Linked DNA regions of Oryctolagus cuniculus. The main gene of each other region encodes a partner of the protein of the gene in region 3 in a complex. Links are inferred from orthologs where the notes say so. Each region holds a gene or a part of one and is shown on either strand. Other genes may lie near its edges.

Region 1 (5,060 bases), on a different chromosome or scaffold from region 3:
CACATTAAAAACCGTCAAGAATTAACTAATAAAAATAAATGTAGCACTTTCTCAGTACAATTTTAATTCCTTTCCCGTAAGCCCTGAATCAGGAAGTCACTGATAAATGTAGCTCAACATAATTTCAAAAACTGATCCTCAATCTAACTCACAGACCCTTGGCTCATGTGTAAGCACTGGATGACTTCTTGTCATCCTTCCTGGAATTGGGTATGCTGCATGAGTGATAAAAATACATCGTTCTTTGGAAGCCAGGGAACATACCAGGCTAAAATAGCAATTTTTAAATCCCAAGCAAATTCATAAAGGATATGTTACTTACTTCTGTAACATTGTGGCAAGATGTGCAGTAATATTTGCCCTCATCAGTAAGACCCCACGAGACAGCAGCACATTGAGTACAGCGCTCCTGAAACTCTCTCTGCACAAGAGGAGAGAAAAGGTGTTACCGGCAAACACGCCCCACACTGTGTACCCTGCATTTCTGCGCAGTTCCGCACAGAGCTTTCCTGGCAATCTCACCCGATAAATACGAAAGCACAGAACATCGAAAAGCTCTCCGCGAGACACTGCGAACAAGAAGGGCGACTCAGTCTTCTGAGTAGTGAGCAACCACATTGGTGCTAAAAATCACTAAGACACAGTCTGTTAGCAAAAAGAAAGAAGTCAAAAATGTAGTGGTAAGCTAGAAAAAAGATGAGGTTTTTTTTTTTTTTTTTTTTTTTAAACAGGCAGAGTGGACAGTGAGAGAGAGAGAGAGACAGAGAGACAGAGAGAAAGGTCTTCCTTTGCCGTTGGTTCACCCTCCAATGGCCGCTGCGGCCGGCGCACCGCGCTGATCCGATGGCAGGAGCCAGGAGCCAGGTGCTTCTCCTGGTCTCCCATGGGGTGCAGGGCCCAAGCACCTGGGCCATCCTCCACTGCACTCCCTGGCCACAGCAGAGGGCTGGCCTGGAAGAGGGGCAACCGGGACAGAATCCGGCGCCCCGACCGGGACTAGAACCCAGTGTGCCGGCGCCGCTAGGCGGAGGATTAGCCTAGTGAGCCGCGGCGCCGACCCAAAGATGAGTTTTTATTAAAAAAAAAAAAAAAATCCCTGAAGGGCTTGACATGGTGGCATGGCAGGAGAAAGCTACGCCTGCAGTACCCACATGCCACAGCCAGTTCCAGTCCCGGCTGCTCCACTTCCCATCTGGCTCTCTGCTGTGGCCTGGGAAAGCAGTAGAAGGTGGCCCAAGTCCTTGGGCCCCTGCACCTGTGTGGGAGACCCAGAAGAGGCTCCTGGCTCCTGGTTTCAGATCAGCCCAGCTCTGGCTGTTGCCACCATTTGGGGAGTGAACCAGCAGATGGAAAGCCTCCCCCACACCTTTCTCTCTCTAACTCTGCCTTTCAAATAAATAAATTAAAAAAAAAAAAAACACCTTGAAATAGTGCTGTGAGAAAAAAATGACAAAATGTAAGAACGCATCAGTACAGAAACACCACTTGCAGTTCCTCTGGGACACTAAAAGCACACATTCACCGCAAGGAACCAGATTTCTTTCTTTCTTAAGATTCATCTATTTATTTGAAAGGCAGAGACACAGAAAGAAGAGAAAGAGCTTCCATGAGCTGGTTCACTCCCCAAATGGCTACAATAGCCAGGGCTGGGCCAGGCCAAAGCCAGGAGCCAGGAGCTTCTTCAGGTCTCCCACATGGTGCAGGGGCCCTGCACTTGGGCCATCTTCTGCTGCTTTCCCAGGCAGGGAGCTGGAACAGAAGTGGAGCAGCCGGGACTCGAACCGCTGTCCAAGCATCGACACCGCAGGCGAAGCTTAAACTTAACCCTCTACCCACAGCGCCAGCTCCGGAACCAGATTTCTTAAAAGATTTTTACTTGCGCGGCAGAGAGAGACTGACAGAGCTCTCCCATGCCCTGGTTCACGCCCCAAATGGCCACAAGAAGAAAAGCAAGGCCCGGCCACAGCCAGGAGCCCCAAGCTTAACCTGGGTCTCCCACTGGGTGGCAGGGGTGCCACCGCGCTGTCCCCAGGGTACCCGGCAGCAGGGGGACCCAGGCATCCCGACCAACGTCTCGGCGGTGCTCAAGGCCAGCTCCAGAAACCAGACGTTCGTATGCGAGCTCTTTCAAGTTTCTGCTTATTCTTCGGGCCGCGTAACGGGCATCAACTCTGGGCGCAGCACGCATTTCGGTGGGCGCTGGGGGCTCGGGGGCAGCCGGGCACAGAAGTGAACCACCCAGCAGCCCTCCCTCGCTCCTCTGAGAGAGCCTATCGCCACGTGACTTATCGCTGATCAGATACCCAGCACTCCTGAATCCGCTCCAACGACCCGGAGTGTGTCATTCATAGATAGATAGATAGATAGAATAGATAGATAGATAGGCGTTCCAAGGAGTGTGTCAAAGATACATAGATAGATAGACAGACACCCAGAGTGTGTCATTCATAGATAGATGTGTCATAGATAGATAGATAGATGTGTCATAGATAGATAGATTGATAGATTGATAGATTTAGATAGATAAATGTGTCATAGATAGACGACCTGGAGTGTGTCATTGATAGATAGATAGATAGATAGAATAGATAGATAGATAGGCGTTCCAAGGAGTGTGTCAAAGATACATAGATAGATAGATAGATAGACAGACAGACACCCAGAGTGGGAGTGTGTCATTCATAGATAGATGTGTCATAGATAGATAGATAGATTGATAGATTTAGATAGATAAATGTGTCATAGATAGACGACCTGGAGTGTGTCATAGATAGATAGATAGATGTGTCATTCATAGATAGATTGATTGATAGAAACCCGGAGTGTGTCATTCATAGATAGATGTGTCATTCATAGATAGATAGATTGATTTAGACAGATAGATTGATTGATTGATTGATTTAGATAGATTTCTGTCGGCAGCTCGGTAACGTCTCCGGCGACCCCGTGCTGGGCCGGTCGCTGGGCACCTGCGGGCGGGAGTCCTGGGGGCCCTGGGGCTCTGCCCGCCGCCCCTGCAGCACCCAGGGGGCCCCGGGGGTGGTCCCGCCCAGGAGCGAGGAGCCACGCTGGGGGCCGCCCCGCAAACCTGAGCGGCCTCACCCTCCGCCCTCGGCGACCCCATCCCGACTCCAGCCGCTCCCCCAGCCGCGCGCCGCCCTCCTGCCCACACCGGCCGCGCAGCCGGCTGGCGTCCTCCCGCCGCTCCTCCTCAGCCTCACTGCCCTCCGGCCACGGCGCTCGAGGGGCCGCCAGGCAGGCACTCCGCCTCCTTACCGCCTCCTCCAGGTCCATCACGCCGCCACAGCCGCCACAGCCGCCGCCGCCAGGGCCCGTTACCCAGGCAGCGAGCGCAGCTTCCGGGACCGTCGGGATGAACCTTCCGGCCGGAAGCGCACGCCTCCGAATTTAGGTTCCGGGCACCCGCGGCCGGAAGCCGCCGCGTGCCACAGGACGCGGCTGCGTACATCCCGCGTGCGCCTCCCAGCGAGCGTCCTTGCCCGGTCTGGGTCTGAAACCAACCGAAGAGCAATGGGGCGACGCCAATGCCGGGGGTTCCTTCACGGTCGTGTCCCACGGTCCGACCCTGGCAGCCCCACGTGCTTGTTCGGGTGCGAGGAACGCAGTGCAGCAGGGCCCTCGCTGCTCAAGATGGACGATTCTGGCCCTTCCGGTTGGCTGGCCACGGCTGGCCACCCCTTCCGTCTTTTGCTGAGGGGCCACGAGACCTGGGTTTCCAGTCGTGCCTCGGCCTCAGTGTCCCTCTGCAAGCATCAGACGTTACCTGGGAGCACCTCAGGTGTTGGGTGCTGACCGCGCCTCCCGTGGGACTCAGGGAGCGGACGCTGAGTCCGGGAGTCAGCGGTGCCCGAGGTCCACCAGCGCCCCGGCCTTCGGGGAAACTGTGTTCTGGTGCGGAGAGAAGAGGTAGAAAACAAGGAAGGAGAAGACGCGCTCAGGCCGCGGAGTGGTGATGCGTGCCCAGGCCAGTGGGAGCGAGAGGGCTGCCGTGTGAAGTGGGTGCTGAGGACAGGTGTCCCCGAGGGGATCTTTGACCAGAAAAATAAGAAAGGGTCACCTGGAAGCCTAACAGGAGGGAGGAGATGAAAAGAGCAACATGACATTCTGTGGAGAGGCTCCACGACTAATACTACGTCTTTGAAAAGGCTGAGAAATTCAGCAGACGCTGGAGACGGAGCAGGAGAAAAGCGAGGTTCATCAGTACCAGGACAGCGGATCTCTACAAACACCGTGCACGTTCATTTAAAAGATCGCAAGAGGAAGTCGTGAACAACCCTAGGCCAATACGTTCGGGAAAGAAGAAATGGGAAATTCCTTAAAAAAAAAAAAAAAAGAGTTATCAAAAGGTATGCAAGAAGAACTAGAAAAGCTGAACAATCCTTCATTTAAAACACTGCCTCCATGAATTAAAAATTCTCAGAAAGAACCCCCCAGGTCAAACGGCAGAGCTGTAAGTTCTGCCAACCTTTTGGGAAAGAAGTGATACCCATCCTACATAGACTTTTTTTTTTTTTTTTTTTTTTTTTTTTGACGGGTAGAGTTAGAGACAGAGAGAAAGGTCTTCCCTCCGCTGGTTCACCCCCCACATGGCCACCACAGCCGGCGCTGCGCCTATCTGAAGCCAGGAGCCAGCTGCTTCCTCCTGATCACCCATGCGGGTGCAGGGCCCAAGGACCTGGGCCATCCTCCGTTGCCCTCCTGGGCCACAGCAGAGAGCTGGACTGGAAGAGGAGCAACCGGGACTAGAACCAGTGCCCATATGAGATGCCAGCGCCGTAGGCAGAGGATTAACCAATTGAGCCATGGCGCTGGCCCATAGACTCTTAAGATAATGGAGAGGGGGTGTGTGTTTGTCAGCCTCCCTTGAGGCAAGCACAGCCTTGACACCAAAACCTGATAAAGATATTTTAAGAAACTCAGTATTAAAGACCAGTCTCTCAGACACAGACACGGAAGTTCCAAACAAAATGTCAGCAAATGGAGTGTGTTCCATTGGCTCCACTGCCGCCCACGTGGAAGACCCGAATGCAGTTCCCAGC
Region 2 (4,937 bases), on a different chromosome or scaffold from region 3:
CACCAACACCCTCTTCCCGCCACGTGAGTCTCCCTACTGCAGGCAGAACCAGCTCATCTCGATTCTTCCAGCTCAGCGCTGCGAAGCCACCCACCACCGTGGAGAGAAGGTGTGCGAATCATAAATACGCTCACAGAATGCTACCCCAGCAGACAGACATTTCTCACAGCAGCTCTGGGGGTTAACACAGCTTTAAACAAACGAAATTCCTAAAAGTCTCCAAAAAACCATCATTCAGAAAACTGGGGAAAACCTCCCAGTTCTTTCCACCCCCCTCCCTCAATTGCTCAATTATATAAGCATTTTTTCATTCTGCCTTGGGGAACAGTCAACAAGAGCCTGAGAGAGTGTGCAGACAGGGTATCAACATCTCATTTCACCTATCCAGAAACTGGAGCAGAGAAAGAAAACCCGCTCCTAGCACGTTTCCCACCCTGGAACTTCACTGCCCCGGGGCCCGGACCCCACCGCTACCTCTGCCTCCTCGTGGTGCTCAATGAGGGCCTGGGGAGAAAGGTTGTACAGGTTGCAAAGCTTGGACTTCACCATGATGGGAACATGGCCGAGAAACTGCTTAATGACTCCTTTGGAGGTGCCATTTACTGCCCAGCTGATATCAGCCTAGGTGAAAAAGAGAAAAACACTCTTAGGAAGCAGACTACATCGAATGACTTCATGCTTCAGGTTTCAAAGACGGGCGCTCTCAGACGCCAGCACCAAGAAGGCAGAATTCTGTATGAACCCCAGAAGCCATCCGCCCTGTGGGAGCCAGGCGCGGTCACACTCACCGTCAGCTTCCCACGGTAGGTGCTCCTTCGGCCCCGGCATTCTGCTGGGTACACGTTGAACTCTCTGCAGATGGTGCCCTTGGGAACCGTGGGGGGACTGATCACAGCGTCCACGATGGTAAGAGTGATGCGCTCATCTTTGAAAGCGAATTCAAAGGGAGCTATGGCCTGGAATACAATACGCATGATTACACGGCCTGCATTTCCAAGGCACTTTTTCTCTAGGACTCCTGCAAATCCCTGTGTTCCTTAAGCACTGAAGCCCGCAACGCCACCGTGACAAACAGAAGAGAGTTAAGACGACATGCGGTCCACTCTTCACTACGCACTTCAGGCTGCCACGCGTTAACTCGGGGTTGTTCTGTCTGCCATGAGCAGAGCGAGGAGGCTCTCAGGATACAGCTGGCACCAGGCCAACGCGCCTGCTCTCTGACCCCAGCGCCGACCTTCTCCAGTCTGACCCTGCTCAGACAGCAAGGAGAGGGAAGCCTCCTTCCGACTGGGCTCACACTGGCAGCCCACCAGACACAAACAACCCTCCGGCTTAGTGTTAGAATGACAGGAACACGGACGGCGGAGCCGACTAAGAATACACAGGCCATCCGCCCTCATGTGAATTCAACCCAGCTTTTCTCAGTTTTATCTAAGACTGATGGTACTTTAGAACTGAAATGTTAAATATATTTCATGTCTAAGGGATGTAGTGTCAAAACAGGGAGAGGCAATTAGAAGATCTGCTTCGGGGCCGGTGCTGTGGCTCACTTGGCTAATCCTCCGCCTGTGGCACTGGCATCCCATATGGGCTCTGGATTCCAGTCCCAGTTGCCCCTCTTCCAGGCCAGCTCTCTGCTGTGGCCTGGGAGGGCAGTGGAGGATGGCCCAAGTGCATGGGCCCTGCACCCGCATGGGAGACCAGGAAGAGACACCTGGCTCCTGGCTTCAGATCGGCGCAGCGCCGGCCGTAGCGGCCACTTGGGGAGTGAACCAATGGAAGAAAGACCTTTCTCTCTATCTCTCTCTCTCTCACTGTCTATAACTCTACCTGTCAAATAAATTAAAAAAAAAAAAAGAAGAAGAAGAAGAAGAGGAAGATCTGCTTCTCCAGCTCCTGGCTCCGGTCTGGCCCAGCCCCAGGTGTTGCAGCCATTTGGGGGGTGTACCAGTGGATGGAAGACTCTCTCTCTCCTCCCCTCCCCAACTCTGTTACTCTGCCTCTCACATAAATAAATCTTAAAAAAAAAAAAAAAAAAAAAAAAAAAAAGACTCACTCGTGCAAGCCACAGCTGCACTCTCGGCAGGTAAACGCCGCTGAGCCTTGACGCTCACGTTAGTGAAATTCTTTAAAGTTACCGCAAACGCTGACCCACGCTCCGGGGAAACACGAAGTCAAGTCCCTGAGAGCCTCTGTCACAGCTTGCCATCAGCCGATCAGTACAGAACCTCGCCCTACCTGTTCCTGTTAAAGGGCGCCTCACTTGATAGACGGCTGAGCAGCGGGCGTTCAGCTTAGCACTTATGATGCCCACATTCCACCCTGGAGCGCCTGCACCTGCGTCCCAACTCTGACTCCGCTTTCCTGCGAATGCAGACCCCGAGAGGCAGCGGTGATGATCAAGCAGTTGGTCCCTGCCTTGGCCCAGCCCCTGCTGCTGCGGGCATTTGGGGTGGCGAACCAGTGGGCAAGAGCTCCCTCTCTCTTCCTCTCATATAAATAAATAATAAATTTAACAGCAGAATGGTCTGAATGAAGCTTACCTAACGTGTATTTTCATCACAGCTTTCCTGTGCCCAGCAACAACACAAAGTACTTCAATGTATGTTTTCAGGCACTATTTCAAGTTGCAAAATTATCAACAAACAGTACAAAAATGTGAAAAAGGCTGCACCAGACAGCAAAAAGAACAGGTGTTTATGTCTGAGAACTGAAATCGAGAGGCAGAACACTGTCTTATTGGATCTCAGCTGGGAACGCGCGCATCGGGCAACTCAAATGTTTGCTGTTCTACGCACGGAAAGTCACAAGTAAATTTTAGTGAGTAAATGAATCTGTGAATTAGGAATCCCCGAAGGATGAAACTAGTTGTGTTCTGAAAAAATCCACATGATGCACACATGAATTCTGAGCCGCAGAATCGAAGGATCCACTCCACAGAAGCTAAGCAAAACCGGAGCCTCCCCGGCGCCTCGCCGGGACCCCGTCGCCCGCCCGCCTGCGGGACCTTCTCCCCCACGAGCCCCCAGCCTCATGCACCCTGCCCAGCCCCCTCCTCCGCCAGCCTGCCGGCGCACACAGCCCTCCGAGGCGCCGGGGGAGGCACCGCGCTCACCTGCACCGCGTGGCCGAGCCCCTCGCGCACCGCGTAGTTGAACGACTCCACGTGCGCCCGCGTCAGCTCCTGCAAGGCCGCCTTTTGCTGCTCCCGCGGGATCCCGTAAGAGGGGTCGGTCAAGTGCTTTAGGCTAGGCCCGCTGGGCAGGGTCCGCCACCGGCCAACCGGATCCATGTGTCCGCCGGAGCACCGAGAAGCCAGCGGCAGCGCGCCACACGCAGGAGTCGCTGCCGGAATCCCGGCGCCCGCGGCCTGCTGGGAAATGTAGTTTCTTCATGTTCCGCCCGCCTTCGGCCCTCCGGTGTTATAGGGTCGACTTGGAACCAAAACCATGGAGCGAATGGACCGGTTAGAACTGTACAGAACTAGAACAGGGCGAGAGCGCACCTTCAACTCTCTTCCGCCCCACTCAAATCCTTCCTTCCTCCGCCCCCAAATACCGGAAGTGAAGCTTGCTGCAAGCCCAATTTAGCTGGTAACCTCTTTGGTCCTTCTCGCTCAGTAAGGATCGCCGGAGAGCGGACTTGGGGAGACACTCAGCTCGAGTTGTGGCTTCAAGGAGAGCGCGGTCTTGTATTGAGTTCCGGGCTCTAAGCTTTGCCCCTGGCCCAGCCCTGGCTGTTCCAGACATTTGGTAGTGAACCAGCAGATGGGAGCTCTGTGTCTGACCGTCTGCCTTTCCAATAAAACATGTTCTTCCGCTTTAAAAAAAAAATATTTATTTGAAAGAGAGCGAAAAAGAGATCTTCTGTCAGTTGGTTCACTCCCTAAATGGCTGCAACCCAGGCCACCGTCAGGAGCCCAGAACTGTTTTGTTTTTTGGTTCTTTTAAAAAATGTATTTATTTTATTTGAAAGGCAGAGTTACAGAGAGGGAGAAAAAGAGATCTTCCACTTGCTGGTTACAGAGAAAGGGGGAGAGAGGTCTTACTTCCAATGATTCATTCCCCAGATGGCCACAGTGGCCAGAGCTGTGTTGATCCAAAGCCAGGAGCCAGGAGCTTCTTCCGGGTCTCCCATGCAGGTGCAGGGGCCCAAGGACTTGGGCCATCTTCCACTGCTTTCCCAGGCCATAGCAGAGAGCTGGATCAGAAGTGGGACAGCCAGGACTTGAACCAGCACCCATTTAGGATGCTGGCCCCACAGACAGAGGCGTAACCTACTACACCATAGCACCAGCCTGGAGTCCAGGACTCTTTATCTGGGTCTCCTGTGTGGGTGGCAGGGTCCCAAGCACTTGGGCCATCTTCCACTGCTCTCCCAGGCACATTAGCAGGGAGCTGGATTGGAAGTGGAGCAGCCAGGACACAAACTGTTGCTCATATGGGTTGCAGTGTGGCTTAACCCACTGTGCTATAATAGACAGCCTCTGTTCTTCCATTTTAAAAAATGAAACCCATTGTGTGTATTGTATTTTTATTTATCTATTTAGCTAGTTGGTAGACATTTGGGTTGTTTCCACTGTTTGGCTATTACAAATAATGCTGTGAATATCTGCACAAGTTTTTGTATGGACAGGTTTTCAATCCTTTTAGGTTTTATAGCTAGAAATGGGATTTCTGAGTCATACATTAACTACATATTTATTTATTTATTTATTTATTTATTTTGAGAGGCAGAGTGAAAAGAGATGAAGAACTTCCAACTTGTGATTCTTTCTCCAAATGCCCGCAACTGTCAGGGCTGGGCCAGGGCAAAAGTGAGAGCTTAGAACTCAACCCAGGTCTCCCACATAGCTGACAGGAACCCAATGACTTGAGCCATCATGGCTGCCTCCTGAGTTTCACATTAGCACCTGGACTCAGGAACTGGAGCCAGGA
Region 3 (5,063 bases):
GGCTGCTCCACTTTTGATCCAGCTCCCTGACCCTGGAAAAGCAGAAGATGGCTCAAACATTTGGGCCCCTACATCCACATGGAAGACCCAGTTAGAAGCTCCTGGTTTTGGCCTGCCCCAGCCCTGACTGTTGTGGCCATCTAGGGAGAGAACTAGAGATGGACAATCTCTTTCTCTGTCTCTCCCTACCTATCTCTGCAACTCTGCTTTTCAAATAAATCTTAAAAAAAAAAAAAAAAAAAGCAACCATTAAACCATTTCCCTTTCCTCATCCAAGGTTTGAAAAATACTCATACAGTATACAGAAAGGCCTATTACTTACCACAGGACATGTAGTATATGAAAAACTGAACTTAAAATGACATACGTATGCTGACAGCAAACACACTGCTACATTCTGTACCAAAGACACTGGAAATTTCACAAACATCTCATGACACAGTGATTTCCAAGGAATTTATTTAATTAGACTTTCAGAGGGCTCTAAAAATCTGCATTTTTCACAAAGACCCCAGATGATTCTAGGTTCTGCTTGCAAGCATAGTTTAAGAAAGTAATTTTAACCTTCATTTGTGTCACATTACATAAACAATAAAATTAAATTATAAGTCATGTAATCTAACTTCTTTACATTAAAAGATACCTAAATACAATATGGTTCAAAATGAAATCATACGTAGTTCAAAAAGATGCTAAACCAAAAGCCATACAACAATGAGAAACATTAACAGCAAATGCAAGTACAAATGAAGATATTCCTCTGAATGCACATTTCAACGCGCATCAAAGACCACCACTGTATTCATCTGAGTTAAGGAAAAAAAAAATGTAGTTGAAAATTACAGAAAAAGACTGAAGACTTCCAAATCACTTTACATGTGCAACAAGCTAGTTTGTTAATTTAAAATGCACAAAGACCTGGAATTCACTATTTATTACAACAACTAGATATAAAGTAAATAAAAGCTTTCAATTTTTATTAGCACTTTTCCCAACCAATGAAAAAAAACCCAATGTATCAAAAAGCACTGAATGCTAAAGGTAATAACTTGTGATTTTAAAAAAGTTATGTTAGAAAATTACAACTCACTCTCAGTGTTTAGTCTCATGTGTTGGCTCCACTTTTTCCTACTAAGTAGCATACACAATATTTGTATTACTCCTTGTATAATTTATTTGTCAAGCTGAACAATCAGTTCTTATGTAAATACAGAATCTCTGGAAAATAAACTTATGAGAATCAAAATCAACTAGTATTTCAATTATTTAGTGCTTCAGTTCTTGTCTATGAAAAATGCTAATAATATCTCTTTAATTAATCCAAAGTTCTTACGGTTTCTACCAGAAGTAGTGTCTATCAACCCCTGCATCACTCTACAGTTGGCTCCTACCTCAGATTTTAAAAGTAGAGTTAAAGGATACATCTTTTTGTCCTTTTCTTGTACATTATTCTGTATCCACATTCTCTGCATCTGATTGGATCCCTGGATTTTATTTCATTTTCAGTGTGACATTCTAGGGAGAAAAAAAAAAAAAAGGCTTACTCAAATTTAAAAGGAAAACAGTGCAGACAGGCAAATTATCTTAACCATATCAGGCAAGGGTATGATATTACAAAATATACTAAATGGGAAAGAAGAGAGTTGTGGGCAATGCTGTTTTTCCAGAGCAAATAAGAGTTTTAAGTGGTGCTACGAGGCGCTCCTTTATAACTTTAAACACCAATGACTCATTCATTCAAAGGATAAATGTAATAATTTCAAAAACAAATTAAGCAAAATACTCTTACTTTATGTAGCGTTATCCTTACCTCCACAAATATATATCATTGGCTGCTGCTTTGGGGGCTGAACGTCTTTCTGGGCGTCCATTGTCAGTCCCTGCAAACACAGAATCAAATCCTCAGTATTTCAAAGGGGTTCCTCACAAACCCGAACAGCCCTCCCTCCCCTTGTTTTTTCAGGAAAAACTGAAAGAGATCCCAGTTCCCCCTCATCTGCGCTCTTCTCCGTGCCTGGGAGTTAGGTCTAAGGGGCAAACCACACAGACACACACAAGTACTGAGAGTCGACCCCAAACTGGGCACGACAGAAAATGATCCGCATTTTGTTCCTTCATTATAATCTTCACAACAACCCTCAAGTGTCACTCCTGTTTTATACACGAAGAAAGCGAGGCTGAGAGATACTAGTTTGCGCAGGCAAAAGGATTCAGATTCGGCTCAAAACTCGAGTTCTCATCTAACACATGAATATCCCTCCAAAACGGAACAGACTAACCGCCGGGAAGAATACTAAAATAATTCCCAATGGCTAAACAGCTCAACTAAAAGAAACCAGGCAAAGCACTGACGGCACCAACTCCTCCACCAGCATCTCCTGACTCTAACCTCGCACTGGACCTTCTTAGCCCCCAAGTGTCTTTCTGGTTTGGCTCAAATACCCACACCTAAACCCCAGCCCCATAACTCCTTACCTGCGTAGAACGGAGAAACTCCGCATCTGCTCCCAACACGCAGTGTCGCTGTCAACTTCCGGCGCTGGCTTGTGACGCAAGACGAGCACCGCCCCTTCCGCCCCGGCCCGGCCCGGAAACCGAGTTTGCGCAAGACTCTAAAACTAGTTTCTTGCTCGCAACGGACTCTGTGGACATCAAGCACATTTTTTAACACTTAGCTATTCTCATTTTTCAGGAAAGAAAATCATTTTAACAGTTCTTCAAAGGAAGTTTGTATTTCTGACTCGTGAGATTGGCGGAAATGAACGCTTTTCCGGAAGGACCGAGACTAAGAGGGACGGAGGTGACAAGTGCCGGTGGAATCCTGAACGCGCCGTTCCTCTGATGACTTAGACTCGGTTAACCAGTGATTTTTTTTTTTTTTTTTTTTGTTACCCCGTAGAAAAGCACATTCTAGGCTGTTTTCAGGTTGTTGGGTACCTGTGCTGGGGCTGTGTGCCAGCCGCCTCCCGTCCTTGTCATGCTTGATCGTGTTTTTGCTCTCCAGCCCTTTGCTTCTCCCTCGCCTCCACGCCTGTTACTCGTTTTACAGTGCAGGCGCACCTGCGGGGCAGCGCCCTCGACACCTCGCACTTAAAGCTAAAGGATTTTGGTAGCTTTAGCGGTTCACTGGCCCTCCCTTGGTCCCATGTATTCCTAGGAGAAAAAAAAAAAAAAAAAAAAAAGACGTGCTTGTGGGAGTTGCATTCTTTCAAAGAATATTCAGTGGCATAAATGCCGATTAGATTCGAACATTTACATTCATTTACTTCTTTCACAAAAGATATTTTACTTAGAATAGAAGCAGAGCTAAGAAAATGAAATTATTACAACTTTATAGAAATAATTAAAGATTTATTTATTTGAAAGTCAGAGTTACACAGAGAGAGGAGAGGCAGAACCAGAGAGAGAGGGGACTTCCATCTGATGGTTCACTCTCCAATTCGCAGCAACGGCCGGAGCTGCCCGATCTTAAGCCAGGAGCCAGGAGCTTCTTCCTGGTCTCCCATGTGGGTGCAGGGGCCCAAGGACTTGGGCCATCCTCCACTGCTTTCCCGGGCCATAGCAGAGAGCTGGATCAGAAGAGGAGCAGCCAGGACTAGAACCGGCGCCCACATGGGCTGCTGGCGCTTCAGGCCGGGGGTTAACCTGCTGCGCCACGGCTCTGGCCCCAGAAATAATTGTTAACAGTTATTATAAAGTTAATTGTAGAAGCAGGCTTGCTTCCCCCACATGCACTGTGTCTTTGGTATCTTATTAAGTAGGACTCCATCCATCAACTTGAGAACTTTAGCTTCACCTTTCATTTCCAGAAGTTAAAACTGTGTGGTTGCATCTCCACAAACCAACTTGAGACATTCAACTGGGATTTCCCTGTCTTTCCAGGGGGCAGGAGTTTGGCCTAGCCCAGCTCCACTTCTCAATTCCAGCTTCCTGCTGATGGCCGTCCTGGGAGGCAGCAGTTTCTGGCTCAAGTACTTGATTCCCTCCCACCCACATGGGAGAACTGGATTAAGTGACTGGCTCCTGATTTCAACCAGGGCTGTTGTGTGCATTTGGGGAGCGAGCCAGCTGATTCACTCTCTGCCTCTGTGCCTCTGTAATAAAATAATAGTATTAGGGCCAGCATTGCAGTGTGGCAGGTAGGGCCACTGCCTGTGACATCAGCATCCCATATGGGCAGTGGTTCAAGTCTCAACTACTTCTCTTCCAATCCCACTCCCTGCTAGTATGCCTGGGAAGGCAGCAGAGGATGGCCAACTGTTTGGGCCCCTGCACACACGTGTCAGATCCAGAGGAGGCTCCTGACTCCTGGCTTTGGTCTGGCCAAGTCCTGGCCAGTGAGGCCATTTGGGGAGTGAACCAGTGGATGGAAGACACCTCTCTCTCTCTCTCTCTCTCTGCCTTTCAAATAAATAAACATTTTTAAATGGAGATTTTCACATAAAAAATCAAATATTTTTGGGGAAACAGCAATTTCCTGCTTCTTCCTCCACAAACATGCTAACACAGCATACATATGACCATCACCCCTGTTACAATCAAAGAGAAGCAGTCATTCAATACACGAGTCGCAATAGGCTTCTGTACGAGATGTATAGACAAAGTCATTATCTTAGGATAAAGATGAGAGAGTGGTTCTAGAACTGCAACTCGTTTCAAGCTGTCTTGTTTTCTAACAGCAATCAAAGTATCAAGGTGATTCTGATGATGCGTGGAGATGAATGGATCAACCCATGTAGAATTCGAATGGATCCTGCCTGGTACCCTATGAAATGGTAGGGTAGTGACAAATGATAGCACAGAGATTCAGATCTACACGTGTACATACTTGTTCCCAGTATGATACCTACCTTCCTAGCAGCTGGAACCGGGAGTTTCAGCGTCACTCCATAGCACGCTGAAGCATGCTCTATAGAAGCTACCCTTTGTCAACAAGAGCTAGCTTTCCTTGAGCACTTACTGCATGGCAGACATCACTGCATTGTTCTGTGCTAATGAGGGTGGTTGTCTTGCCATCTTGGACAGGAGTGCTTTTAACTTCTTTTAATATGGTTATGGAGATG
Region 4 (4,758 bases), on a different chromosome or scaffold from region 3:
GGCGTCCACAGCACCCTTCCCAGCCCAGCCCGTCACCCTTCCTCCTCCTTCCTTGCCCCACGTCTGGTCACCCGGCGTGCACTCTGCTTCTTACGCTCTCGCTGCACGGCCCACAGCCTGCTGCCACCCCCGCCTCCCCGCCTCGGCCCCTGGCTTACCTTGCCCAGAGTAGAGAAGCTGAGCTGGAACAGGAAGGAGAGAATCTCCACGAGGTCCATGCCCCGGCTCTAGGGAGAGGAGGGGGGACAAGGAAGAGAGCTAGGAGGGAGCAGGTGTGAGCAGGGGAAGACCGGTGTGGGCGGCAGACTCTTGGGCAGAGCGAGCGGGGGGTGGGCCCCAGGCCTCCTCACCTGGGCGGTCTGCAGATACTGCAGCATAAAGTACCAGAGCTGGGCGGGCGTGTCCAGCAGCAGGAACTGGAAGCCGGCGGAGGTAATGCAGGGGGGCTCTCCTGGCTCGGCACTAGAGACGCAGGGGGCAGTGATGGGGACAGGCAGGGAAGGACCGTCACCGCCAGCAGCGCTCTCCGGTTCCCGCCTGGTGTCTTTAGGCTCTGCTGGACCCAGCTCTGCTTTTGCAGTCAACTCCCTCGAACCTGGTCCCACTCCAGACACCATTTACCAAGGACCCAAAGAGACGGCAGAGCAGGGAGTCGCGTTACCTCCAGCTTGCTCACCTCTTCATGAGCCCAGCCTGACTGAGGAGCTGGGCCAAGTCCTGGCTGACGGCCGCACTCGGGGAGCCCACCATGAAGTGCAAGACCACCTGCAGAGCAGAAGACAACACAGAGGCTGATGCCTCTGCGAGCCACAGATGCAGCGGCGCGAGCGCAGAACCGCAGAACCCCAGGGGCCTCACCTCCCATCGCTCCTCTGCGTACTTGTCGAGGGAGGGGACATCCCGGGCATGCTTGTCGGGTCCCAGCTGACTTGTGTCATCAGACCAGGCCTTCCCCCTAAGGCCAGGACGCACCAAGAGGTGAGGAACCTTGGCTCTGTTCCCTGCTGCCTGTCTGCCCCCTCTCCACCCTTACCTCAAGGGCCATGCATAGGGGACACTTCCTACACCATGCAGCTGTATCTGATTCAACTTCTCCCTAAAGGAGTTCTCAAAGGTGGGCCCCGCAAGGCTCCAAGGAGCCCCACTCCCCGCCAGGAGTCTCCTCTCCCCTCCAGGAGTTCCCTCTCCCCCCAGGAGCTCCCCCTCCGGCAGCTGAACTACCTGTCCCCCTGGGCTGGCTTAGGAAGAGATGGAAGTGACATACCCACCGAGAAGGGCGACGCGGAGGTTCTGGCGGAAGACGGGGTTGAGGATGAGGCCCTGGAGGCCTCCAGGGAGCAGCTGGGTGTGCCAGATCCGGAGGCCGCTCAGCAGCCCCGTACTTTGCTCCTGAGCCCTGGAACAGAAGCCGAGATGAGTGCTAAGTGGGTGTCCCGAGAACAAAACGAAGGAGGCCCACACAGGCTCCACTTCTGCCTCTTCCGAACCATTTCAGAGTGAAGTCACTGTCTCCTAAACACAAATTTCTTCCTTTTTAAAAAAAGATTTATTTATTTATTTGAAAGGCAAAGATACAGAGAGGCAGAAGCAGAGACAGAGACAGATCTTCCATCCGCTGGTTCACTCCCCAGATGGCCTCAATGGCCAGAACTGGGCCAATCTGAAGCCAGGAGCCAGGCGCTTCTTCCGGGTCTCCCACGTGGGTGCAGGGGCCCAAGCGCTTGGGCCGTCTTCCACTGTTTTCCCAGGCCATAGCAGAGAGCTGGATCGGAAGTGGAGCCCACATGGGATGCCGGCACTGCAGGCGGTGGCTTTACCCACTACGCCACAGAGCCAGCCCCTAAACACAAATTTCAGAACCTTGCTACAGACATCACAACTCTCCAAGAAGGAAGACACAGCATGCAAGCTTTGTGGTGTACCTATTAGTATTTCCTGAGAGTGTGCCAAAGAACAGCAGTTTGAGAAATCTAGCTGCTGAGAAATTTGTATCTGGCTGAGAGTGCCGTCGAGACTCACTTGCTGAACTCCTTCTTCACCCACAGGGCTACGGCAGCTTGCGGCAAAGGCTGCTCCAGAAAGAGCATCCGCATCACCCAGTTCTTAGCCAAAGATGGGAGCTCTCTGCAGAGGGTAGAGGTCAGAAATCAAAACCAGAAGCTGCCTTCTATCTCTATCTCTGCCTGACATGCCTCTCAAACATCTCATCTCACCAGAAACACACACACACACACACACACACACACGTATCTTAACCAGTCCTGCTGTCCCCAGAACCCCCATCTGTTCCATCTGCATCAATTTGGAGTAATTCCCAAGCCGTGCCAGGCTGCTACGGTTCTGCCCAGGATAACTCATTGCCGTCTGCCAGCCCTACCACATTTCTCCACCACAGTTGCTGCCGTGAAGGGAACTCCTCACCTGAAGACAGCCAGACAGGTGGCAGGGTGCCCATACAATCGATCCAAAACCCCAGGGCTTAGGCTCCCTAAGAATTCCTGCAGATTCCTGCATTGTAGATGCACCCGGTTCAGTCCACCCCTAGAAGGGGTACTCTCCATCACCTGAGAGACAAGTGTTAGCCGCACACCCCCGCGATCCACACCAGGGTCACCCCTGACCTCTGACTCCAGATCCATCAGTCCCCACAGTAATACCCGTGGTGTCCGTTCCCAGGTCATTTATCTCCTGCTGTCTCTCCAAACCTGACCAGCCTCCCCTCTTTCCTGCCTCCTCATCCCACTTCTGCCCACCACTCCAGACTTCCCTCAATTTCCAAGTTACTAACTGGCCTCTACTTGCAAAAATCATTTTGGTTGCAACGACCTGTCTTCTTTAGCTAAGCGGTAGCAAAGAACCTTGTCTGCGCCCACTCTCTCCCTCCGCCCCTCCTGCAGAGCAGTCTGCAAGCTCCAATTCTGTCCGTCTTCCCCATCCTCTACTTCGCACCCCTCTTCTGCGAGGTACGGCAAAACAAACCTCTGCTCTCCACGCTGCTCAAATCCAGACCCACCACTTCCACCTCCCCCAAGTCTACCTCACTGCGTCCACCCCGATCCACACCGTCCCATCCCCTAACTTCTCCCCGACTTCTTCTCCCCGACTTTTCTGCCACTCCCCACCCCTCTCTGCTCTCTTCTACCTCCGTCTACCCGCCCTCCCGGGCCCGCTCACCACTCTGTGCCGACCCCCCTCACTCGCCCCGAGTCTCCAGCCGTCACTTAAACGGAGCCGATGTCCCGGAGATGGGGGAAAGGATGGTCAGGAAATGAGAGAAAAAGATGGAGAGCAACGAGGGATTTCACAGCAGCCCAGAATGGGGAAAACAGAAGAGAAGGAAAGGAAGAGGAGTGGAAAAGTGGGGAGGATGAAAATAGGCGCTGCACTCGGGGGCCGCGGGGCGTACTGGGAGTTGGAGTCCTGTCCCTACGCACCTCGGAGCAAACTGAAGCTATTCTGACTACAACTCCCGAAAGGCAGCGCGAGGAAGCCGGGCGGAGACAAGCTGGCCCTTGAGCGAGCCGGGCCGCCAGAAGTCGGACCATTTTGTTCCGCGCCTCTCTCCGCCCACGCTGCTAACGGCGCTTCTAAACGGCGTGGACCGAGGCGGGACCTGGAGAGAAATGCCCCGAGGGCTTCTTGGTGGAAGGGCGCCAAAAGGCAGGGTGGGGAGGCACTTGGAGAGCACAAAACTAGATTGTTTGAGGTCAGAGGTCCCCCGCGTAAGCGCTTTCGCGAGTTGACTGCTACCCCGATCCCACGCGCCTTGACTCGCGGGCATTCAACAAGTCTTAGTGTCTTTCAGCATGCTTCCAATCCCTGTTTAGTTAGAAGACCTTAATAAATAGGCTGGTTTTTTAAGATTTATTTATTTATTTGAGAAGCGGAGTCACAGAGAGAGAGAAGGAGAGATAAGGAGAGAGGTCTTCCATCTGCTGGTTCACTCCCCCAGTTGGCCACAATGGCTGGAGCTATGTTAATCCAAAGCCAGGAGCCAAGAGCTTCTTATGAGTCTCCCATATGGGTACAGGGTTCCCAAGGACTTGGACCATCTTCCACTGCTTTCCCAGGCCATAGCAGAGAGCTGGATTGGACCAGAAGCAGCTGGGACACAAACTGGCATCCATATGGGGTGCCGGCCCCTTTAATAAATAGTTTTAAACATAGCAGGTTAAGCCACGACGTGCAGTGCCGACATCCCATATGTGCGCCAGTTCCAGTCCTGGCTGCTCCACTTCCGGTCCAGGTCTCTGCTAATGTGCCTGGGCGAGCAGGGGAGCATGTGGGAGACCTGAATGAAGCTCCTGGCTCCTGGCTCCTGGCTCCTGGCTTTGGCCTGGCCCAGCCTGGGTGGTTGCGGCCATTTGGGGAGTGAATCAGCAGATGAAAGATCCCTCTCTCTCTCTCTTTTTCATATAAAGGTGCCTGAGCTCCGTACCCTTCTCTGGCTCCTGCTAAAGCAGACCATGGGACCAGGTGGTGATGGCTCAGGTACTTGGGAGACCTGGATGGGGTTCCTGACTCCAGATTTCAAACTCCCACCCCCCAAGGTCATTGAGAGCATTTGGGGGAATGAAACAGTGGGTGGAACATCTGTCTGTCTCTGCCTGTTAAACTTCAAAAATAAAAAGATAAAGCTTGGGGAGAAATGTTCGATGAAGTAGACAGAATGCAAAAGGCTCTTCCAAAGCAAAAAGACAAAAAAAAAAAAAAGATTGGCAAAAGAGATCACAAGCAATAAGCAGGAAAAATACAAAG
Region 5 (4,972 bases), on a different chromosome or scaffold from region 3:
TCAGATAATAAGAGCTACCCCACTATAAATCCTATCCATCATCACATACGTTAAGGTAAACAGTTTTTTTAAAAATGCTTTATAATTACTCCTGTTTTACATCCTGCTTAAGGTAAAAGCTATTGGCTAATAAAAACAACGGCTTGCTGGCAAAAGCAAACCTCAAAAAGAAATGTTTCATTAATTTCTCTACCAGTAACACTGTTATCACAGAGGAACCTCTAAGAAAATGTGTCATTGGCCTAGCCAAAAATAATGAGTTTGCCAGTAAAACTTTCCTAAATGATTAGAAACTATCCATTCCTTTTCATGACAACCAGAAAAACAACCCAAATATCCAGACTGTTGCCTTTACTGTTCAACTCACTAACTTGCTTTTTTGATTTTGCCAAATCCACCTATGTGAACTTGATATTATCTGTTAAAAGAGCATCTCTACAATGCTTCCTCCCTTCAACATTCGGAGTCTATATATAAGCAAACTATACCTGACTATGGGTATCATCTTGCTTACAACAATTTAACTACTGAGTTATAGAAATATATCTATAAAATGTACTTTACCAATGACTCCACAAGGCATTATAAATAGGCAACATAATTTTAAGTAGGTGGTTTAAATCTCAATTTGATGATACACATTATTTTTTCAGCAAACCGGATGTTTCTAAAGTCAGTTACCCTAAAACTCTTGGAGACCCAAATGTCTACAGGAAAAAATCTGTTTTCTTCTGGTACTCCTCCCTGTTGAACAAATCAAACATGCCTTTGAGATGTTCTTTTTCTGCCTTAAATGAACCAACACTTGGCCACCTAATGTATTCATAATCACTATAGTGGAGGCATGAAGGGAATATGTATTCCTTATGAGGTCTATGCTTAAAGAGGAAAATTGCTTACAATTTGAAAAGCCCTCAAAATACTGATGTCATTAAAGGTTCTTGGGAATTTGAAATCAGTGATTTTCAAATTTTTAAAAAATTATCCTTTACTTGAGCGAAGTTTTTTGCTAAATGAAAAGTAATTTATATTTGTCCTGATTTTTAAAGACAATTCCAGGCTCAAAATGTGGCAAATTAGAAGGTCATTAGTGGCCCAGTCAAGTGATCAACTCGAAGGTTTCTTTCAAAAGTATCAGTACTGCTGCAATCCTGGCATATTAATTGGAATCATTTTTATATTGGATACCAAATTAATATCCAGGGCAATAAACCAACACCTACTTAGAACTTTAATATTTTAAAAGCCAGTTTGCAGTAGGTCTCCTCATTCTTGTAACTCACAATTGTCCTACACAGTAATGTATGTGGATAAACTGAGGCTTTAGGAACTTAGCTGTTTCTTTGAGAAGCGTCATATCCTCATTAGAGTAAAACATGAAACACTGCTAACATTTCCTGAATACCTGATGAACAACATGCTATCATAACCAAGTTCTAGTCCAACAACAAAATCATTTAAAAAATTCCCTACAATAACACGCACACCTTTCAATACACAAAAATCGACTAAACCATCCGTGTTTTAAAATATCAAAAATGTTAACATAAAAAAAGGACTCCAATAAGAGAGCGCATTTCCCCAAACAAAGGAAGCAAATCCTAGCTACCGCATCCAAACAAAAAACTGGGGCTCTGAAAGCAGCCCTCGTCCGCTGGGAAATTACAGCCTCAGAAAAGGACCTAGAAATAAATTGAGCTCCGCACGCGCCTGCCTCTCGCCTCGGGAGCACGCACCTCCCAGCCCCGCTCAGCAGCTCTCACTATTTAAAGCCGGATCTGGTGTTTAAATGGAGAGGCGGTGACGTAGGCCTGAAAAGCACCTTCCCATCCTGGCAGAGTCTATATTAGAGAGCGGCAATGGCTCTATATAAACAGGGCAGCCAAAGGGAGGAGGACCACAAGGCTCAGGGACTGAAAAGCAGGGTAAGCGGCCGCAGCCATGATGGATCGACCCGAGTCGCCAACGGTACGGTGTCGGGCGGCCGCGGGTTTGTCCGCGGCATTCGGGACCGGGCAAAAACGTGTTTTATTGTCGTAGTAAAAAGAAGAGTTGGGTGGGCTAGTGATCACACTGCGTTGGTGACTGAAAAGGTTATTTATGTGACTGCTTTTTGCAAACCTACGTGATCGCAAGGAACCAAAAAGGGACTCACGGGAAGAAGTAGGCAAATTTCAAGGCGCAAGCGGGGCACTTTGACCACTGGAGGCTTTTTGGGGTTTGTTCTGGTGCTTTTGCTAGTTGAAGATACGACGGGGGTTTTGCTTCCCCTTCGCCATTTTACCCATTCGGAAGGAACTGAGATAAGTGCTTTTCAACCTTCGTCTGTTTTTTTTTTTTTTTTTTTAACATAAAATGGCCCCATTGAAGGTCCCCAAAGCACAACCGCCAGGAAAAAAACAAAAAACAAAAAAACCCAAAGTAATCCTCCAAGTAACCCTAAGCCTTCCACTGCGTTCAAGTGGATCCCGGCGGGTCCCGGGAGCTGGCCCAATTCCCCAGCCGCGGATCTGATTCCGAGGCCGCTTGGGGAGCCTGGTCGAGCCGGCGCCGACGGGCCCCCTTCGCGGGAAGCGGCGGCTCGCCGCCCGCCCGCCCGCCCGCAGGCCGGGGCCGGGGGCCGGGGCCGCGCGCCAGCCCGGGCCCAACGGCCTCCGCGGCCCGGACCTCCCCAGGCCCCGCCGGCGCCCCCGCCCGCCCCGCCGCCGCCGCCGCCGCCGCGAGCCCTCGGCGCCCCCCCCGCGCCCGCCGCCCCGGCCCGGGCCGCCCGAGGCGGGAAGCGGCGGCGGCGGCGACCGCGCGGGCGGCTCCAGCGCCGAGGCCGGGATCGCCGCCGTCCCCGCCCCCGCCCGGTCCGGCCGTTGCTGCCGCCTGAACGAAGCCCCCTCCGGCCACCGAACCACGTCCTTACCACGGTGTTTGTATTTGCCGAGTTCGCCATTTCCACACACAACACAAACAACACGGGGGTAACCCCGGGAAAACACGGTCAAAACAAAACCAAAAAGAAAAAAAAAAAAGAAAAGAAAAACCACCCGGAGGGCGACCCAAGTCACCACAGATTGGGGCAAAAAATGGAAACAAAATCGATTCTGAGGGAGAGGGGGAAGCGGTGAGAGGAGAAGGAAGGGGACACTCTCTCCTCCCGAAGCTAAAAACCTCGAGAAATGCCTTAAAAAAAAAAAACACGCCAAGACCCTTCGGGGGTCCGGGGGGCGTTGCCCACTCCCCACCCCGTGCCAAGGAGGGAAACCACCGGTCACCGCTCCCCGCGCCGCCGCTGCCGCCACCGGCTGCAGCTCCAGCCGTCCGGTCCGCTCGCTTCTCCCCTTTATATAGCGAGCCAACAAGCTGCGCGAGCCGCCGCCGCCGCCGCCGAGAGACAGGGCGGAGGGGGAGGGAGGGGCGGAAAGGGCGGGGGCAGAGGTGGGCGGGGCGGAGCGCGAGACACCGCGAGAAGCCGCGTGCGCAGGCGCGCCGGGGCGGAGGCCGCCTCGCGCCGCGTCGCTACGCGCGAAGGAGGGCGCTGGGCGGGCGGAGCCCGGGGACTGGAGTAGTGGAGTTGGCCCGCCGGCTCCCCAAGTCTCGCGTGATCACGTGGTTGGCAACCAGGCGGAAGTCTCCTGCAGCCCTCTGCGACCGGGAGCTTGCAAGGCATTGCTGGGAAAGGTGCGCGAGTTCTAGTGACACCCGAGGGCTCAGCTAGCTGGGAACGCCTCCTGTCAGACGTCTGCGCGCCGAGCGGCGCTGCGGGAGCTGGGGTATGGGAAAGGGGCGGTGGCCGCCGCCGCGCTCGGCGCGGCCGAGGAGGAGCGCGGGTCACGTGGAGCGGCTTCCGGGCCCCTGGCGCGCCTGGCTCGGGACAGGGTGTGAAGTGCGGAGTCATCTTGTGGCCCCGGGGCTGCGCGCGTCTGAGTGGGCCTCTTCTCGCAGGGCTGAGTCTGTTTCAAAAGCGGGTGGGAGTCTATTTGGGTCCTCGGTCTGCACGGTCCAGAATTAGCAACCTCCGAAGCCGGCGCAGCTGTTTGTCCCCACGCTGAGTCTGGGTATCAAGGATTTGGGGGCGAAGTGTCCCCAAACTTTCGGCCCCCGCTAGCCCGCGTGGTTTTAATGACTTCGCAGCCTGATGGAAATGACAAAGCGCGAAACTCCAGCCGCTGGACTATGGAAGAGCGATGACTTTGCCTGGCGTTTTAAAAATGTTGCCAACATGCCATGACTCCACGTGGCTAGCCTGGAGTGACTAATCACACGTGAAGTACGAGCCTTTGACCCACCAGTTAACACGGCCTCTCCCTGCGAGAGAGCTGGGAGCATGTGTCCGTGTCGTGGAGGGCATTCGATAGGCGTTTGACCTGCTTCACCCAAGCAAAGCCAGCTTTGATGTCAACATCTCACGCGGAACAGAGTGCGCTGTCCCGAAGGCAGAACCCTCAGTACCTCATTTTCTCTAGCCCGGGAATTTTGAGTGAGGGGGTTTATCTTCAAAAGGCAAAGCAAAACAGAATATCAGAAGAGTTGTGTGGGTGAAACCAGGTTTGAAGACTTATCAAAGGCATGCTACCAGGGGGGGGAAGATGCACCTTGCCAGGCTCCGGGAAAGGATTAGAAAAGCAAGAGGCCGTTAATAGAAAATGGGAGATGGCAAATAGGAATGTGAATGGGTGAGGGCGTACAGTGTATTTAGCTCTATGGTTTAGCTCCTAACTCCAATCTGCCCTTCACAGTTTGTTGCTTAGTAGTTCGCTGCACAGCTCCTGGTCGGAAGTGCTTAAAGAAAAAATTAATCACAGGACATCTGTGTTCCTAGTAGCTTATGTGAAACTGATTCTATCAACATTTTTTGTGTAGTTAAGATTCAGGTGGCAATTAGCCTGAAAATGTACCCAAATAACATCACTCTTAGTAGTTCTCCCTGCAAAGTGTTTTAAGAGGACTTTTTGTTTCCTCCTTGGAGGTACTCCCAATTTCA

The links. Proteins that work in one complex are often made in the same cells at the same time.
Region 1: POLR2K (region 3) and TAF1B share a complex: the UniProt entries of both Homo sapiens proteins name them as parts of the pol I pre-initiation complex. The link is inferred for Oryctolagus cuniculus from reciprocal best matches to the Homo sapiens genes POLR2K and TAF1B.
Region 2: the proteins of POLR2K (region 3) and POLR1B are in contact, whole or in part, in a cryo-EM structure (PDB 7OBA), measured with the Homo sapiens proteins. The link is inferred for Oryctolagus cuniculus from reciprocal best matches to the Homo sapiens genes POLR2K and POLR1B. Residues at the interface, in NP_005025.1 of Homo sapiens: Met15, Tyr17, Gly20, Glu21, Ser30, Arg31, Asp32, Pro33, Ile34, Arg35, Cys39, Gly40, Tyr41, Arg42, Ile43, Met44, Tyr45, Lys46, Lys47, Arg48, Arg51, Val53, Val54, Phe55; in NP_061887.2 of Homo sapiens: Val87, Ile92, Cys93, Lys94, Glu95, Val98, Ala101, Glu102, Gly105, Arg106, His159, His160, Gln704, Asp705, Val793, Phe794, Gln805, Asp808, Asp809, Asp810, Leu812, Pro813, Phe814, Ile815, Gly816, Ala817, Lys818, Leu831, Val848, Asn851.
Region 4: POLR2K (region 3) and GTF2H4 share a complex: the UniProt entries of both Homo sapiens proteins name them as parts of the TBP-based Pol II pre-initiation complex. The link is inferred for Oryctolagus cuniculus from reciprocal best matches to the Homo sapiens genes POLR2K and GTF2H4.
Region 5: POLR2K (region 3) and GTF2A1 share a complex: the UniProt entries of both Homo sapiens proteins name them as parts of the TBP-based Pol II pre-initiation complex. The link is inferred for Oryctolagus cuniculus from reciprocal best matches to the Homo sapiens genes POLR2K and GTF2A1.

The regions. Positions count from the first base shown.
Region 1 is NC_091433.1:192,380,756-192,385,815, forward strand, and holds the start of TAF1B (TATA box-binding protein-associated factor RNA polymerase I subunit B), read right to left. Parts: upstream 3,396-5,060; 5' UTR 3,295-3,395; coding exon 3,277-3,294; intron 422-3,276; coding exon 323-421; intron 1-322. UniProt on the Homo sapiens protein: Component of RNA polymerase I core factor complex that acts as a GTF2B/TFIIB-like factor and plays a key role in multiple steps during transcription initiation such as pre-initiation complex (PIC) assembly and postpolymerase recruitment events in polymerase I (Pol I) transcription.
Region 2 is NC_091433.1:113,612,896-113,617,832, reverse strand, and holds the start of POLR1B (DNA-directed RNA polymerase I subunit RPA2), read right to left. Parts: upstream 3,396-4,937; 5' UTR 3,293-3,395; coding exon 3,116-3,292; intron 957-3,115; coding exon 789-956; intron 622-788; coding exon 475-621; intron 1-474. UniProt on the Homo sapiens protein: Catalytic core component of RNA polymerase I (Pol I), a DNA-dependent RNA polymerase which synthesizes ribosomal RNA precursors using the four ribonucleoside triphosphates as substrates.
Region 3 is NC_091437.1:125,591,844-125,596,906, reverse strand, and holds POLR2K (DNA-directed RNA polymerases I, II, and III subunit RPABC4), read right to left. Parts: upstream 3,179-5,063; 5' UTR 2,476-3,178; intron 1,881-2,475; 5' UTR 1,872-1,880; coding exon 1,811-1,871; intron 1,516-1,810; coding exon 1,423-1,515; exon of another isoform or gene 1,392-1,422; intron 797-1,391; coding exon 774-796; 3' UTR 443-773; downstream 1-442. UniProt on the Homo sapiens protein: DNA-dependent RNA polymerase catalyzes the transcription of DNA into RNA using the four ribonucleoside triphosphates as substrates.
Region 4 is NC_091436.1:139,556,332-139,561,089, forward strand, and holds the start of GTF2H4 (general transcription factor IIH subunit 4), read right to left. Parts: upstream 3,396-4,758; 5' UTR 3,175-3,395; intron 2,565-3,174; 5' UTR 2,562-2,564; coding exon 2,422-2,561; intron 2,125-2,421; coding exon 2,020-2,124; intron 1,397-2,019; coding exon 1,265-1,396; intron 956-1,264; coding exon 859-955; intron 766-858; coding exon 677-765; intron 463-676; coding exon 351-462; intron 228-350; coding exon 159-227; intron 1-158. UniProt on the Homo sapiens protein: Component of the general transcription and DNA repair factor IIH (TFIIH) core complex, which is involved in general and transcription-coupled nucleotide excision repair (NER) of damaged DNA and, when complexed to CAK, in RNA transcription by RNA polymerase II.
Region 5 is NC_091451.1:27,054,857-27,059,828, forward strand, and holds the start of GTF2A1 (transcription initiation factor IIA subunit 1), read right to left. Parts: upstream 3,396-4,972; 5' UTR 2,942-3,395; coding exon 2,912-2,941; intron 2,293-2,911; exon of another isoform or gene 2,156-2,292; intron 1,969-2,155; exon of another isoform or gene 1,863-1,968; intron 1-1,862. UniProt on the Homo sapiens protein: TFIIA is a component of the transcription machinery of RNA polymerase II and plays an important role in transcriptional activation. TFIIA in a complex with TBP mediates transcriptional activity.